Canis lupus familiaris: one gene and its partner. The protein of the gene in region 1 interacts with the protein of each later gene in a pairwise test. Links are inferred from orthologs where the notes say so. Each region holds a gene or a part of one and is shown in the gene's direction. Other genes may lie near its edges.

Region 1 (8,480 bases):
TATATATTAGTTTAGAGAAAGTGGAAATTATTTTTCTATTAAATGTGAGACTACACAAGAGTGAAAATTTAAATTCGGGGGGGGGGGTTAGAAAAATTCAACATTCAGTTCAATTAATATTTTAAAAATTACAGGCAATTTACTTGGTCAATAAATTTACCATTGCAGTGCTTGCTTTGGCAGCACATATACTAAAATAAATTTACCATTTCAAAGTAAGGAAACATTAGGATTATTGTCAATAAATAATAAAAATATAGATTTCACTTCTAAGTTATTAATACCTAGAAGAAAGAAAACAAAAAGGGGGACTGAAGAAGAGAACTTCATTAAAGGAAATCCAACCAAGTAACTAAACTGACTAGTTTCACTCTAAACAAACTGATTAAAAATTATTACAAACTTCAAAAGAGTGCTCTGCACTGGTTGGTGATCCTTGCATGCTTCCTTAGTAGCCTGTATGACCAACCTCTGAGTACTTTTGGTCTTTTTCTTCTGACATTCTCCAGTCCTACACTCCCAGAACTGATGACTGCACTTCAGAAATTGCTCCCACTCTGCAAGTCCTCTATTTTGTGGGGAGAAGAGGATAGCACTTGTTTTCTTTTTTAAGGCCATCCCTCCATCTAAATGCTCAAGCCATAAATGTAATACCTTGATTCCTCTCTCTTCTGCATTCTCATATTAGCACAAAGCCTTGACATTTCTACATCCAACATGTTCTCAAATCCTGGTCATTCCATCTCCACTACCACTACCTTAGTCCAAGTCACCAAGCTGTGTTACTAGCCTGCCATGGCCTCTTACTGGTCTGCTGCTCACTTGCACTGTTGCCCCTCTGAAAAGCTCTTCATCTAATAGAATGACATTTAAAAATGTCATGTCTCTCCCTGCCTAAAAAGGTTCATTGGCTTCCTACTGCACTTAAAATCTAAACGTATGTCAACCTCACTTCATGCCCTGATTCCCCTGGCTCCTGGACTCATGCCGCAGCCTCCTTCAGTTCCCAGAAAATAACTAAACTCGCTGCTGCCACGGGTCCTCAGTACACACTCCCTGTATGGAGAATGCTCTTCCCAGCCTCCCCGTTTTCATTCTTCAGTGTTAGATCTTTTTCCATTCTTTCTCAGCGAAATATTCCCTTCTCAGATGATCCACCTACCCCAGCTAGTGACCCCTCCTCTATGTATTCAGGCATCTCAGCACAATGTTATTTTATTCACCTTCTTATTGTCTGTCTTCCCCTTACTACAATAAGCTCTGTGAAGATAGGGACTGTTAATCTTGCTCACCAGTATATTCCCAGACCTAGCATAATGTCTGCCATTTGCTCAATAAATGTAAATAAAGAAATGGAAGGGAAGAAAAGGAGAGAAGACAAGATCACTTCTTATTCCTTATTCCCAGCCAGGTTAAGCCACCATCCTCTCTCACCTACACTGCCATAGAAGCCTGCCTATCAGTCTCTCTGCCTCTAAGTACCCCCTGCTATCTATACTCAACACAGCAAAGTGATGGTTTTAAAAGACTGGATCATTTCTCTGCGTAAACCATGTTCTCCATCTCAGAGTAAAAGTCAAAGTCCTTACGCTAGCTTACAGGTCCCTACATGACCTCAGCCTGTTTCCTCTGACTTTATTATTTGTCCCCCCAGCTCACTCTGCTCCAGTCACACGGGCCCCTTTACTGTTCTTTGTACAGGCTGGGGACACTGAGCCTCAAGAGTTTTACCTTAGCCATTCCCTCTGCCTGTAAGACTCTTCCCCCAGATATATTTCTAGCTAACTCTTACCCATTCCAAATTTTGGCTCAGTAGTCTCTACTAAGCCTGTCCTATCCTTTGTATTTAAAATTGCAACCTCCTCACCCCCACATAGCCCCTTTCACCTTTTAACATGTCATATGGTTTTATGTTCTTTGTCTGCCCCCTCCAACCTCCACTAGACTATTACCTCCGTGAAGGCAGAAATCTTTGTCTTGTTCATTTATGTATCTCAAGTCCCTAGAACTGTGCATAGAACATAGCAAATGCTGAGTAAATATCTGCTGAATCAGCTGATGAGTCAATTTCAGTGAACTCTTAGTTAAAATATACTTTTCAGTTCACAAGCAGCTATCACACTTTTTTTTAAAGATTTTATTTTATTTGTTCATTAGAGGCAGAGAGAGAGAGAGGCAGAGACATAGGCAGAGAGAGATGCAGGCTCCCCTCAGGAAGCTTGATGGATCTCTGAACTCCAGGATCATGCCCTGAGACAAAAGCAGAGCTTAACTGCTGAGCCATCCAGGCATCCCTATCACATTCTCATCCTTATTGCATGCACAGTAAACCACAGAAGAAATTTCTGTCTATCCCTGGAAATGCTAATAAACTATTATTTTAGTATTTGGTGAAAGGATATGGCTCTGAAATTCCTCAAGTTTTCTGGGCCCAGTTGATTTAACAAACATTTTCTAGATACTTAATGCCAGACACTGCAAGCTGCTGGGGTTACAAGGCTAAGACAAAGTCCTCCTCAACAGGGCCTCAGTCCATGAAGTGGGACAACCATACAGTAACGTATGGTTCATATACAGAGAGGTTAAACGCAAAGTTTTCGTTGGAACAAGAGAGGTGCCTAAGTTGAGAGGCTTAAGAAAAAGAGGATAGAGAAAGCATGTTAGAAAACATAACACCTGAGCCACATCTTGAAGGTGGACAGGTCAGTGAGAGGCATTTCAGCCTAAGGGCAAACAGGCTATTTATGGAAGCCAGGAGAATGCCTGCCCTGTGTGAAACATGATGGTAGGAAAGAGTTAAAGACAAGTGGATGGAGAATACAGTGAAAAGGTAGAAGTAGCCGGTCCTCAAGGGCTTTATGACACTATCGAGTAGAGGCAGCTTTTGAAGATGTGAACAGGTGTATGACAATTACCTTCTGTGGAGGATAGACTGGAGAGGCAAAACGAGACCTCGGACAGTCAGAGGCTGTTGCATGGTTAAGAGAACGCGAGAGGGCCTGATCAAGAACAACGAGGAGAGGAGGGATGGATTTAACAAGTATTTACTTACTTTATAAACTTATCCTGGTCATCAAACAGATGTAGAGAGTGGGAAAGAAATCTAAGGTTTCCGGTTTAAGCAACTGAACACATAATTCACAGAGGATAATCGAAGGCAGAAAAATTTACATAAGAAATAGAAGACCATTAGGAAATCAGAGCGTTTTATTGAACTCAAGCAGCAGGGTGTTAAGGAGGAGGAGGGCGGAGGATGGAACCCTGGGGAACCACGAGGACTGAGGCGGGGGTAGGCAGAAAGAGTACAATAGAGCCGTGGAATTCGTCACCAGCCTGCGCTGCAGACTCGCAGGCCCCGACCTGCAGACGGGAGGGCACGCCGCCGGAGGCAAGCGGACGGACCCACCCGCGCAGCTCGCGATCCCACCCGGCACCTGCGGGGCACTACCGCTACGCCCTCCGGCGGGAGCGAGTGTCCGCTCGCACTGCCACAGTTCAGGCGCCTGCGCCCTCAGAGCCTTGTGACACCTGCAGGGCAGGTAATGAATGGGATGAAGCCTGGCGATGTGGGCAAGGGTCCACAGAGTTTCACAGATCATATTCCATCTGTGGCTGCCCTTTGAGAGAAACGGGAAGAGCTACCCAAAGGCCTCACCCTCATACCTGCCCTCCTCTACGCCACCACACCCAAAGACCCCGCTGCTCTCCACCCCGCATCGTCCCAGATAAACTAACACACGGGGCCAAGCAGGTGGCGGAGTCTAGCCCCGCGCTCACGGTTCCGTCCCCTCCCCTCGCCTCTCCGCTACTCCCAAAACACTTCCTCTCCCTCTTCCGGAAGCTCGGAGGCCCCACCCACTACCGCAACGCCTGGCCTTAGCCAATGGCCTGCTTCCCAAGGAACGTTACCTCTGACCTCGGGGCTCATCAGACAGTGGGACAAACTCCTCGCGAGAGGTGAGGTTGAAGCTGCCTCCGCCATCTTGGAGATGGGAGACGGGCGATGGCTGTGGTCCTTCTGCTAATGCAAACAACAAAACGGGCACAGTAGTCAATGCGGGGGAGCTTATCATCACAGAAACTGTTGACCAAAGCTACAGAAGGAGTGAGGGTGTCAAAGCGCAGCGCAGCGGCATCGATAGCCGCTTCTCCTGCTTGCGGGAGCGGCAGAAGTGAAGTGAGTGGAGGCCGGAAGGATGGTGCAGTCCTGTTCCGCCTACGGCTGCAAGAACCGGTACGATAAGGATAAGCCCGTTTCTTTCCACAAGTAAGTACCCCGCGCGTCTCGCGGGGCTGGCCCAGCTCGGGCTGGGGGCGAGCGGCCGGTTAGGCTCGGGGGCGGGGCCAGCTTGCGTGCGCGCGAGCCCGGATGAGGGGCGGGGTGGGGCAGGGGCGGGGCCAGCGCGTGTGCGCGCGAGCCCTGATAAGTGGGGCGGGGCGGGGCGGGGCGGGGCGGGGCGGGGCGGGGCCAGCGGGTGTGCGCGCGAGCCTCGACGAGGGGCCGGGGCAGGCCGGTCCTCCTCGCGGTCCCTAGTCCCCCGTCCCCCGTCCCCCGTCCGCCGGGCGGCGGGTGTACCCGCCTGGGTCGGAGCTCTCGTGCTGCCGCCTCCGGCTGCGCGTGGCTGCCATGGCCGTTTCTTGCGCTCGAGAGTCGGAATCCACGCTCGGGGTTCGTCCGCCGCCTGCCGTGGACGTGTCGGCGCCCCAGGAGCGGCGTCCGTGGGCGCCGCGCGAGCCTCTGCTCGGGGTAAGAGGGCAGCGAGGGCGTAGTAGCGCCTCCTGAGTCAGTACGGAGCCGAGACAGAGGCTGTGAACGTGACGGAGCCGCTCTTTTCCCAGCCTTGGCGTGCCTGGGAGGCCAGCTTCACAGCAGCTCAGGCTTTCGGGGAGGACGTGTGCACTCAGTGCCTAGGGGCCCACCTCGGGGCACCTCTGGCTGTTGGAGGGAGCCTCTGGGACGGCCAGGACCTCAGTTGGCGCGCAGCGATGGGGTCCCAGGTCCGCACAGCTGGCTCGCCCCCGAGGAAGCCCACAGGTCCCGGGGCCGTGATGGCTTTGGCGGCTAGAGAGGCCTGTGGGAGAAACGACCTCGTGATCATCGGATGTCTGCAAAGTGGGACTCGATGGCATTTTCATTCCGCCAAATAAAGTGTTTACAGACTTTACGTTATTATAAATATGATTATTTACATTATTATTACCAAACCGATGGCAAATTATAGCAATTATACGTAAGTAAATCATTACAAAAGCAAAATTTAAGTATTCCGTCAGTTTTTTTGGTGGGGTCGTGTGTAACAGGGGATGTGGGTGCATTTTATGCTTAGTAGAAGAGGGACCCAGGGAAATGAGTGCCTTACCACGCAGATCTGAGTGTTGATTGATGGACCACCACCACCATCCCCATCCTGCCCTCCACCTGCAGGACGACTGAGAGCACCTAACACTCCAGGATCTACTTCAGTATATCCTGAGATCACTTCTTTATTTGTTGGAATTTCTGAAAGCTGATGAATTGACTTCCAGTTCTTTGAAAGTGTAGGAATAGATCAGAAGACGGTGACACTGTTATGTTACAGCCAGCTCTGCACAACCCCGTTTCTAATCAAAGAATCTAAAAATGTGGAAAACCCTTCATTGGTACTAGAAACTAAGGATGGCGTTCACACATCAGAAATAGTTTCTGCTGGCTGTCAAATGATTGGGTCAAAGGAGGAGCTGATCTGCCTCTCCTTCTTACCTATAAAGAACAATTTTTTGGAAATAGATGGGAATTATTCTCACAGAACTCCATCATGAACAGCCTGATCATTGTAGTGTGTAAGACAGGAGGCCCAAGGGGCTGAATTTTACTGGTGATGGCTACCATCTGTTGTATTTCTGGAGGCCATTTCCAGCAGAGATCTTCTACCACTTTCTACATGGTGGCCCAGTGGCAGCAGCTGTTCTGGGCAAAGAAAAGAACTGTCCCAAAGATTGGTTAGTTCTTCATGATAGCAGAGTCCAGCTCTGGCATACCTTATGTAGAAGAGAAGCTAGAACATGGAGTTGAAGCATCCTTTGGCTTTCCAGTTTCCCCATTTCACTAGATACTTGACTTGGAAAAGTAAAATCACAGTAAATATAAACCCTTTCTAAGCCCACTTTTCTGGGCCAGATGGACATATTCCAGTTGATTTCGAGGTAAAATAAGATCAATAATATTCTTATGCTGGAATTAAAAACAAATCAGAAGACTAAAATAAATTAAAACTTTTATTTTTTTAAATTAAAAAAATTGGGCAGCCCCGGTGGCTCAGTGGTTTAGTGCCGCCTTCAGTCTGGGACGTGATTTGGAGACCTGGGATCGAGTCCCACGTTGGGCTCCCCACATGGAGCCTGCTTCTCGCTCTGCCTGTGTCTCTGCCTCTGTGTCTCTTGTGAATAAGTAAATTAAAATCTTTTTAAAAAATAAATTTAAAAAATTTTAATTTATCTATTCACGAAAGGCAGAGACCTATAGGCAGAGGGGTAAGGGGGCTCCCTGCAGGGAGCCCAATGCAGGACTAGATCCCAAGGACCCCAGGATCACAACCTGAGCTGAAGGCAGATAGATGCTCAACCACTGAGCCACCCAGGTGCCCCAGTAAATAAAAACTTAAAAATTAAAAAACAAATAAGAACTTCCCAAACCTGAGGAGAGACTTGGGCATCCAAGTTCATGAAACTAATCAACCACCCCCTTTCAATTCCAAACATATATAAATAAATGAATACATGAAAATTTAAATTTATCATTATGATTTGACTATAATTCGATTAATTCATATTTGTCAAATTGATCCTAAGAGAACTAGAACCTTCTTTTTCTGCAGTATGTAGATATAAACATATAATTTTATTTTCATTGATTAAAAAAAATCAGTACAGATTTACCCTATAGTATATATTTTACTTGAAACTCTTAGTATCTTTGACATAAAAAGTTAAACATTAATAAATGAGACAGAGAAGCTATATGATTACCCTTGTATATTTATTTTTTAAAAAAGATTTTATTTATTTATGTCTGAGAATACACAGAGAGGAGAGAGAGAGGCAGAGACACAGGCAGAGGGAGAAGCAGGCTCCATGCAGGGAGCCTGACGTGGGACTCAATCCTGAGTCTCCAGGATCAGGCCCTGGGCAGAAGGCGGCGCTAAACCACTGAGCCACCCGGGCTGCCCTACCCTTGTGTATTTAGATGTGTGTGCAATACCTGTATCACTTAGTGAAAGTTAGTGAAAATAAGTTATTCATTTATTTGAAAGTAATGGAGGGAGACCAGTGATAGTACTGCACATGTCCCTTGACTTCCACTTCCAGCTTCCCATCATCTCCTCTTCCCATTGCATGCATCTGTCTGCATGGCTGACCTTCAATATGTATGTTTTTACATTTTGTAAATTTTTAATCAGCCTGTCTTTTTTTTTTTTTTTTTTTTTTTTTTTTTTTTTTTTTTTTTTTTAAATTTTTATTTATTTATGATAGTCACAGAGAGAGAGAGAGAGAGAGAGAGGCAGAGACATAGGCAGAGGGAGAAGCAGGCTCCATGCACTGGGAGCCTGATGTGGGATTCGATCCTGGGTCTCCAGGATCGTGCCCTGGGCCAAAGGCAGGCGCCAAACCGCTGCGCCACCCAGGGATCCCCAGCCTGTCTTATTTATATTGTTTGCATCATTGTTTCTGACATTCTCGTAACCACCCTGTGATCAAAAGATTCCTATAACAAATACTGCTTTTTATTTTTTAAAAAAATTTTAATTTAAATTCTAGTTAGTTAACATACAGTGCAATATTGGTTTCAGAAGTAGAATTCAGTGATGCATCACAGAGAACACCCACAAATACGGCTTAAAAAAAAAATTCCATGCTGAGAGGGTTGACTTATTATCACACCCTAGTAGTTGGTCATTTTATTTATAGGATCTTTAAAACATTCTTAACTCAGGTGAATAAAGGCACAACTAAAAACCGTCCAAAAAAAAAAAAATTGCAGAGCTAGTGTTTTAATCAAATGTCCCTTAGCTTGTAAACAACAATATAAAATGGTTCTTTCCTAAACATGAAAGTTTAGATGTGCTTTTTTTTTTTTTCTTTTAAAATAAGGTCAGAGAACTGAATTATCTCTTCTTCTTAGGTTCCCTCTTACTCGACCCAGTCTTTGCAAAAAATGGGAGGCAGCTGTCCGAAGGAAAAACTTTAAACCCACCAAATATAGCAGTATTTGTTCGGAGCACTTTACTCCGGACTGCTTTAAGAGGGAGTGCAACAACAAGTTGCTGAAAGAGAATGCTGTACCCACAATATTTCTCTGTACTGAGCCACATGACAAGGTAATGTGTGTTTTAATATAATGGATTTTCTATTTATAAAATTCATGTTTTTATTGTGGAAAATTGAAAGTAATGTAAAGAAGATCAGTGTTACCTAGAAGCCATCACTGGTAGATAACTCACTGT
Region 2 (7,680 bases), on another chromosome or scaffold:
ACTGGACATCTGCCCCATCCCCTGCCGCCACCTTGGCCTGCATCCCTCTGGTCTCTTTGCCAATGTCTTCTCATTGGGGAATGACAGTGGCTGTTGGCTTCTGTGGGTTCTTGAGTTTGGGCCTGGGGTGTTTGCAGGGGAGCCTGTGCTCTGTGACCAAGTCCAGTGCCTGGAGAGGCCCCTCTCCTGGATCCAAAAAATGCTGAGCCTGTTCTCCTACATCCTGTACTACATCCTGCACTACATCCTACCTATATCCTGCAGCTCTCGGTGGAAGGTTTTTCTGCTGGGTGGAGTCTGTGGTAACCTTTCCAAATCAAAGTCATATCATTTCTCCCCTGACTCGTGCCAGGAATTACCAAGGTGAAAGAAAATGGTGGCTTATGGGACACCTGGATGTCTCAGTGGTTGAGCATCTACCTTTGGCTCAGGTCATGATCCAGGGATCCTGGAATCGAGTCCTGCATTGGGTTCCCCACAGGGAGCCTGCTTCTCCCTCTGCCGATGTCTCTGCCTCTCTGTCTCTCATAAATAAATAAATAAAATCTTTTAAAAAATGATCATTTATAACGTACTCATCTTTCCTCAAACAGTGTCAACGTTTCTATCAGAGGTGCCCCCATATTTCTTTTACTTACCTAGTTTCACTCTTGAGTCTGGGACTTTTGGGTTTGTTTATTTCCAGTATGTTTAATACATGCAGCCAGTGTTTTCATTGCCCTAGAAGCCGGTAAGGATTTGATTTTTAGTGCATTTAATGACATGAACACTACGTTACTTACTATTGTACTTGAAAACATTTATGTTGAGATGACCTAGAAGAAATTCCAGGTCCCTCGGTCATACCACCCATCATCCTCCTTGGTGGCAGTGGCAGGTCCATTTGTCCTGCCTGAAGTTTTCCATGTGCATTGAGTTATTTTTGTGCCTTTTGAAACACAGTCCAGGAGACGTCTAACAGTAAGAGAATGTGTTGCTGAAAGTTTGACTTCCCGTAATAGGAGATTCTGTATGTGGTCCAACGTGGAATGCCAGAAACCATGGCAGCACTGCTGTGCGGTCATCCCATCTCTGTAGAAATGCGTGTTTGCATGGAGGCTGCACACTGTCAGTTCCACGTGTTTGTGACAAGCAAACAGGCAGCAGACCAGGGTGGTGGCAGATTCCCCCCATGTTGTCCAGTCTGTGTTTTGGAAAAGGGTCGTGTTCACAGCTGGTGATCTGCTGCCGCCCTAGACTTCCCCTGGAGAGTGGGCCAGGCCTGCAGGGGGCTGGGGGTGCTCCCCCTCTCACCCCATGACACTCCCAGAAGGGACCCCAATAGGCTTCGATGATCTGACTGCTGCATTCCTTTTAAGATTTTTCTCTGTTTACATGGGCTGTTCACAACCTTTAAACGAGGTAACTTTGAGGGGGTATGGGTGATGGTGGCAGGTGTGTCCCAACTGTTGTTTGCTAATTAAAACCGAGTTCTGTGGAGGGTTATCAGAGCAGTGGCCACTGGAAGAAGTTCATTCTCAGCTGGAAGGAAAGTTGTATTAATAAGCCTTGCCTCCAGAGATGGTGGTATCACTAAAAGCTCGCAGGCGGCCCCTGGCAGCTGCCGTGCTTGAGAACCCCCCTGCACAGGCGATGCTGCAGGATGAGGGAAGCAGGGGGGTCCCGGGTAGGTCCCCATGGCCCTCACCCTGACGTGCTGGGAGGTCCCTGGGTCCAGCCAGTGCCTGTCCTGCTGTCTCCCATCCCAGCCCCTACCCCCTGGTCCCATGCAGGCTCCACCATGGCTGACACAGCACTCTGGCCCTGCCAGCCTAATGTCCACACAGGGCACCACTCCAGAATAGCTGACGTCACTCGTGTGATGGTAGCAGCAATGGGGGTGTCACCTGGTCCAGGCCAGAAAGGTCAGGGCACCCAGAGCAAGGAGACCAGGTGAGGTCCACGCAGCAGTGGGCACCATGGCCAGCCCAGTTACCCTGCAGCCCTCACTTGGCCTGTCCCTGCTGTGTGGGCCAGGTCACAGCCCTGCATACCTGCACCCACCTCTTTATCTTCAAGCAATGCCAAGGACCTTTGTGTTTTTCACAAATCATTGCTTGGATTCATGTGCTCACCTCCCGGTGAAGGACCACAGCTGGAGGAGAGGCAATGGTCTGTCACCCTGTCCCCCTCCTTGGCAGTATTGGTGGGAGAGTGGCTCTGGTTACTTTCCTTGGTGGCCCCTACCCTCTGAAGAGAATCAGAAAGGGCCAGTGTTTAGGGAAAGGAAGGCTGGTCCAGGTGGAGAGTCTGTCTTGGTGTTAGGGGTCAGAGGGCTTGGGTCAGAGGTGCTGGCTTCCTCGTCTGCTTCACACAGTATGGTTTGTTTTGCTGTCATACTGTGCATTGTTTAAGCTGCCAGCCCTTAAAATTCAGGAGGCTTCACCCTGTGTGATTCTGTTTCCAGCTTCTCTGGAGAGGCCTCTCAGCCTGGGCTGTGGCCAGGGTGTGGGCATCCAGCTGGACCCCCTCAGCGTCCCTGGCTGACCCCTGGCACAGTCAAGGGTGGGCATCACGGCCCTCTGAACAACTCTGGAGGCACATTTAGCTCCTGAGGACGCAGAGCATGGGCTCCAACTACCACCACGCCAGGGTGACCGTTAGCCAGAGAGAGAAAGAAGCTATCTGTGTCCTTTCCAAGTTCACATGTCCTTAATGCTGGGTGTTGTAGAAGAAGAAGCCAGACCTCACAGGCCACACCGCATTCAAGTCCTGGCCACCAGCCTGGTGGCCCCTCTGTGGGGACTGCACACACTCCGCAGGCCACCCCTGGGCCCTCAGGAAGCAGACAGGGCTCCATCTCCTGTGGGGTAGGCCCCTCCAACCTCGGTGGGAGCATCCTTACCCCACTGGGTCAGAGCAGGAGGCAGAGGCCAGGCCCTGGTGACAGCCAGCACCATGACAGATGCAGGGTTTGTACTCAGCACTCTGGGCAAGGGGGCAGCTGCTTCCTACCCTCCCTGCCCCTGCCCAGGCCCTCAGGGTCAGTGTTGATGTGCCCTCGGCCCCCGCTGCTACAGCCCTGACCTTTCACTGAGACTTTGGCCCTGAAAGGCTGCTGCCCTATTGCCTGCCTGGCTTCAGGGAGGCAGAGGCTGGCCTGCGGCTGTTTGCTGTTCTCGGTGCCAGACTGGCTGTGCTGCCTGCCCAGTCGGCCACCGTGGCCCAGGGCGGTCTGAGCAGGCAGCTGGGGCAGGGGAACTCCCTGCAGACGTCATGCTCATCAGACAGCTGCCCCCTAGACTTCAGGAAACACCTAAAAACCAAAGCCCCTCAGGCAGCTGGGGCGCTGGGCTCCTGGGGCTGTATCTGCGGAGATGCCACTCCTCCCCAAGAAGGGGGTTGTCCAGAGACTCTCCTCTGAAAGCACCTCCCGTCCTGGCGGCCTGAGAGCCCTGCGCTGGCACACGTGTGTGTGTGTGTGTGTGTGTGTGTGTGTGCGCGCGTCCATGCTTGCGTGTGGCACTGCTGGAGACTCCCTAGTGTAACCCTGAAACCCCACTGCTGGTAAATTCAGCTGGTTTTAAAGGGAAGCAGAGGAGGAGCTGACGAAAGCTGCTCTTTTGTTTTAGAAGATTCCGGAAGGATTCAGTGTTTAGTGGGAACACAAAGGTTGTCAGGACGCTGCCATTTTATGAAGGGACTTGCCTGGCCTGGGGGGTGGGGGAGCAGCCGGAGGGAGGGGCGTGGCTCTGCAAAAGCTGGATGCCCCTGGGGCAGCTGGCTAGGCCTCTGGAGGCCTGGGGAGCAGTAGCCAGGTCCCTGGCTGGAATCACAGTGACACTGGCACTGGTGTTGTAGGTTTTCCAGGAAGGGGGAAGGGTGTGCAGCTGCTGGAGTCACACACCACCACCCCCCACCTGGTTTTGAGTCTCATTTGGTTTGATAGTCAGGACTATACCTGGCTGGTGTCTGGGAAAATGGTGTCCAGAAGCCACAGCCAGCCAGATCGGGAGGGCAAGAGGCCACTAGTGCCGCGTCTGCCAGCTGCACAGCTTCCTGCTCTCCTTGGGAGAGGTTTGCTGGAGCAGAAGGGCCTCAGCGGATCCTTGTGGCGGGAAGACTGCCCGTCCCCATCCCCCGGGAGCAGTGTGCCTTTGATTGCGCCTGTACCTCATGTCCTGCTGGGCGGTGGCCTGGGGGTGGCCTGGGGCAGACAGCAGTGGGAATGGGCTGGGGACAGGCGAAGGGCAGTGTCCTGCAGAGCCTCATGGGATGGAGCCCTCCAGGTGGCCCAGAAATCCTTGTCCCCAGCACTGAGCACACAGGGTCTGGAAATGCAGCTGAGGTCACTCAACTTTGACCCGTCCTGGGGTGAGGGTCACCTGAGTCCCCAGGAGGGCAAGACTCTGAGCAGCTGTGTCTCCATTTGCCAGGGGAGCCCAGCACGGGGTGTGGGACAGCCCACCCACCTGGTAGGGGTCAGCTCCTCAGAGCGGGGCTCCAGGATGCTGCGAGACATCCTTGCAGGCTGGTTCTCCCTTGACTTTTAGGGAGGAGCAGTATTGGGGGCTGGGCAGGAGACGGCCCCCCAGCTGCCAGTGCTAACCCCGGAGGAGAAGAGGGTCCTGGAGAGGAAGCAGAAGAAGGAGCGGAGAAAAGAGGAGAAGAAGCGACTGCGAGAGTCAGGAGCAGCCCAGAGCCCACCAGCCAAGCGTTCCGGGGCCCAGCTGGCCCTGGACTACCTCCGTGGGTAAGACGCCCCCCTCGCGTGGGGCCTGGCCAGTGTCCAGGGACTCTGTGGTGTCCTGGGAGGGAATTTGGGCTGTGGACTCAGGTGACCTGGGTCACATCTGGCTCCAGAACCACTAGGACCCTGGGGGCAGTAGGGCCACCACCAGTGGTGCTCCTGTGGTCTGAGGCCTGTCCTGGCAGGTGTCACCACAGAATCATCACCTCCAGTGGGGCTGTCAGAGGAAAGGGAGCAGGGCACAGTCACTGCAGCCATGACTGGAGCCCTTGGGGTGCCCAGCAGACCCTGCTTTACCCTGTCACCACAACCAGGTAGAGGCTGGCAGTTACACTGCTAATAGCTTTGTAGGAAACTTTCTAGAAGCTCCAAGAAAAGTGAGGCCACTGTAACACCACTGGCTTCTCTTTGCAAAGAAACTTATAGGTAAGTAGAGGCAGGTGTTCCAGCAGGGCCCCCCCTCCTGGTTTTCCTCCCCAGAGAGTGAGTTCGTACTTTCTCCGATCTGTACTCACTCTTTAGGCCATGAGCCTCAGCAATCGAGACCAGGTCAGCCTGAGAATGCCTGCCATGGACACATGCTTTCTCTTTTTCCTCATTGTTTTTGGGGAACAGTTTACATGCAGCCACTGCCACAGCCAGGTTAGAACACCTTTGTTACTGCAGAAAGCAGCCTTCTGCTCTCATGCAGCTCCCTACCCCAGCTCCAAGCGAGCCCTCCTCAAACTTGTATCACTGTGTTAGCCCTTGTATCACTGTGGATGTGCCAGTTTGGGACTTGTTCACCACATGGCCTCTTGTGGCCTGCTGCTTCCACCTGGTGTAGTGTTTTGAGGTTCATCCACATGACAGCACATGCCAGCATTTCCTCTCTCCTTATAGCCAAATATGCATCGTGGCTATTGTGGCTGTTGCTGTGGTGCATGCCCATGTGCAGGATTCTGCGTGGAAGTGTTTTCCTTTGTCTTGGGCATAGCCTTGGGGCAGGGTTTGCTGGTGACTGGTGTAGGAGAGCTGCAGACACAACAGTTGCAGCATTTCAGCCCCACAGCAAGGGGAGGTGCTCTGATGATGGCCATCCTAATGAGGGTGGGGTGGCATCTCATAGTCCCCTTCACTGGCATCCTGTACCATGTTGAACCAAAAATCCAGGTAACTCCGTGGGCTGCTGGGCTACCGCCTCTTGGCTCCTCCCTGGAGGGTCACTGGATGGACTCAGTGAGGAAGATGGACTCCTCCCCAGGAGGACAGCTGCCCACTGGCTCTTGAACCTCCACCTGCTGGCCTGCAGAACGCTAGAAGGCCCTGACCTGGCTGCACTGGGGGCAGGAATTCCTCTCTGGAAGCCCGCCTGCCTGCTGAGAAGAGGGCTGCAGATAGGCTCTTGGACTTCTCTCTGCTGCACACACACCCCCACCCCCCACCCCCGGAGCAGCCGGCCAGAGAGCTGAGGGAGCTGTGGCCTGGACTGTGGTCGGAGTTCCCATCCCCTGGCCCATTATTAGCTGTAATGATGTGTAATTCTGTGCGGTGTGGGACCTTCAGTCTCCCTGCAGCCTTGGCTCCTGGGCACAGTGGGTCTGTGCTGGAACCATTGCCCCTTTGGGTGTCTAGTTCTCCAGTGTTGGTATCACCTGGGCACACTCCTCCCACAGTTCCCAGAAGAAGTGGGGAAGGGAGCTGGGGAATCTGTGTCTGCTGGGACCACATGCTGGCACAGCCCTCCTGGCCTCCCTAAACTCAGCAGGGGTGCCAGGGGAAGTCCTAGGCCCAGATGTCCATGGGGGAGGCTGGGGTGACCCGACTGTGTGTCATGTGTGGGGTGTGCCCCACAGGGAAGTGCAGAGACCACACCAGCAGCTTAAGGACACCCAGCCCATTGTCACCCTCTGGGGATCCTCTTCAGGTCTAAGCACTTCTCTCCATACTGGTCTGTCCAGTCTCTGAGGCCTGCCTGGTGCAGGGGCTCAGCACTGTGGGTGCCACCAGCGTCCTCTGAGATCAGAGCAGATGCAACATCCGTGCCTCTCTGAGAGCCAGTCTGCATTTCTGTGAGCCTGCACGCCTGGGCAAATTGCTTTCTGCCAAGGTTAGAGCTGTCCTCCCAGCTAGGTTGGTGCTGGAGACAGAGAAGGCCATTGGGCCCAGGATGGACAGAGGAGCAGGTGGACAGGCCAGGGAGATGCCAGCTACAGAGTGGACCCCAGGCTGTACAGCAGGACACAGAGCCTGACTAGGGCAGCTGGCAGTAAGGACGGGCCAGGAGGCTTGCGGTGCCTATGGCCACTCTCTGTGTAGACCCCTTATGGAAGGCAAAGGGAGGGCTTCACTCTGGATTGCCCAACTCCCTGGTTTTCACCTCAGGGACTACTGCCCTGCCCAAACTGCCCCCACTACCTAGAGGCCAGCCCAGGGACCGTGTCCATCCTCTGGTTGGCAGCCTGTCCTCAGCAGTGTAGTCCTTGCTTCCGGCCTCACCTCCAGCCCCCATGGACTCTTGCAGCCCCCTAGTGCCTGCCAGGTGTTGGTGCTGTGCAGATGGAGCCATGCCGTGTTCCATGTGTCCTCGTGAAACAGCAGTGATGGCTTGTGCACCCTGTGGGAGCCTCAGGGGTAGTCCTGGGTACCTATGAGATGTCACAGCCTGGGACAGAGGCAGCTAGGGTGCAGGGTTCCCAGAGGAGAGGAACTCCTCTCCTCTGGGAACCCTGCACCAAGTGCCTGTGGCATGGGCTGAGGGCAGAGAGACATACTCTGGTAGTTTTCTTCCCTTCTCCCCGGGGGTCCCTCCTGTCTGCCCAAGCCAGCAGGACTGTCCTCCTGGCAGGAGGCCATGGGCCATCTGCAGCTATACCTGTTGCCACACAAAGTGACCTTGTGGGAATGAGGTTCCACCTCGAGTAGCTGGGGCCCCATTTCCCAACCACAGCCGGGCTGTGCTGCTGTGGCTG

Evidence for each region. The genes of interacting proteins can lie anywhere in the genome.
Region 2: the proteins of THAP1 (region 1) and C6H7orf50 interact in binary tests that used the Homo sapiens proteins (3 or more experiments, as listed by UniProt). The two-hybrid records come from large-scale screens. The link is inferred for Canis lupus familiaris from reciprocal best matches to the Homo sapiens genes THAP1 and CHLSN.

The regions. Positions count from the first base shown.
Region 1 is NC_049237.1:23,671,923-23,680,402, forward strand, and holds the start of THAP1 (THAP domain-containing protein 1), read left to right. Parts: upstream 1-3,520; 5' UTR 3,521-4,196; coding exon 4,197-4,267; exon of another isoform or gene 4,268-4,352; intron 4,353-4,491; exon of another isoform or gene 4,492-4,747; intron 4,748-4,753; exon of another isoform or gene 4,754-5,178; coding exon of another isoform or gene 5,179-5,231; intron 5,232-8,158; coding exon 8,159-8,354; intron 8,355-8,480. UniProt on the Homo sapiens protein: DNA-binding transcription regulator that regulates endothelial cell proliferation and G1/S cell-cycle progression.
Region 2 is NC_049227.1:16,009,613-16,017,292, forward strand, and holds part of C6H7orf50 (uncharacterized protein C7orf50 homolog), read left to right. Parts: intron 1-4,532; coding exon 4,533-4,732; intron 4,733-7,680. UniProt on the Homo sapiens protein: Hormone secreted from the intestine in response to cholesterol, where it acts to inhibit cholesterol synthesis in the liver and VLDL secretion,leading to a reduction in circulating cholesterol levels. Acts through binding to its receptor, GPR146.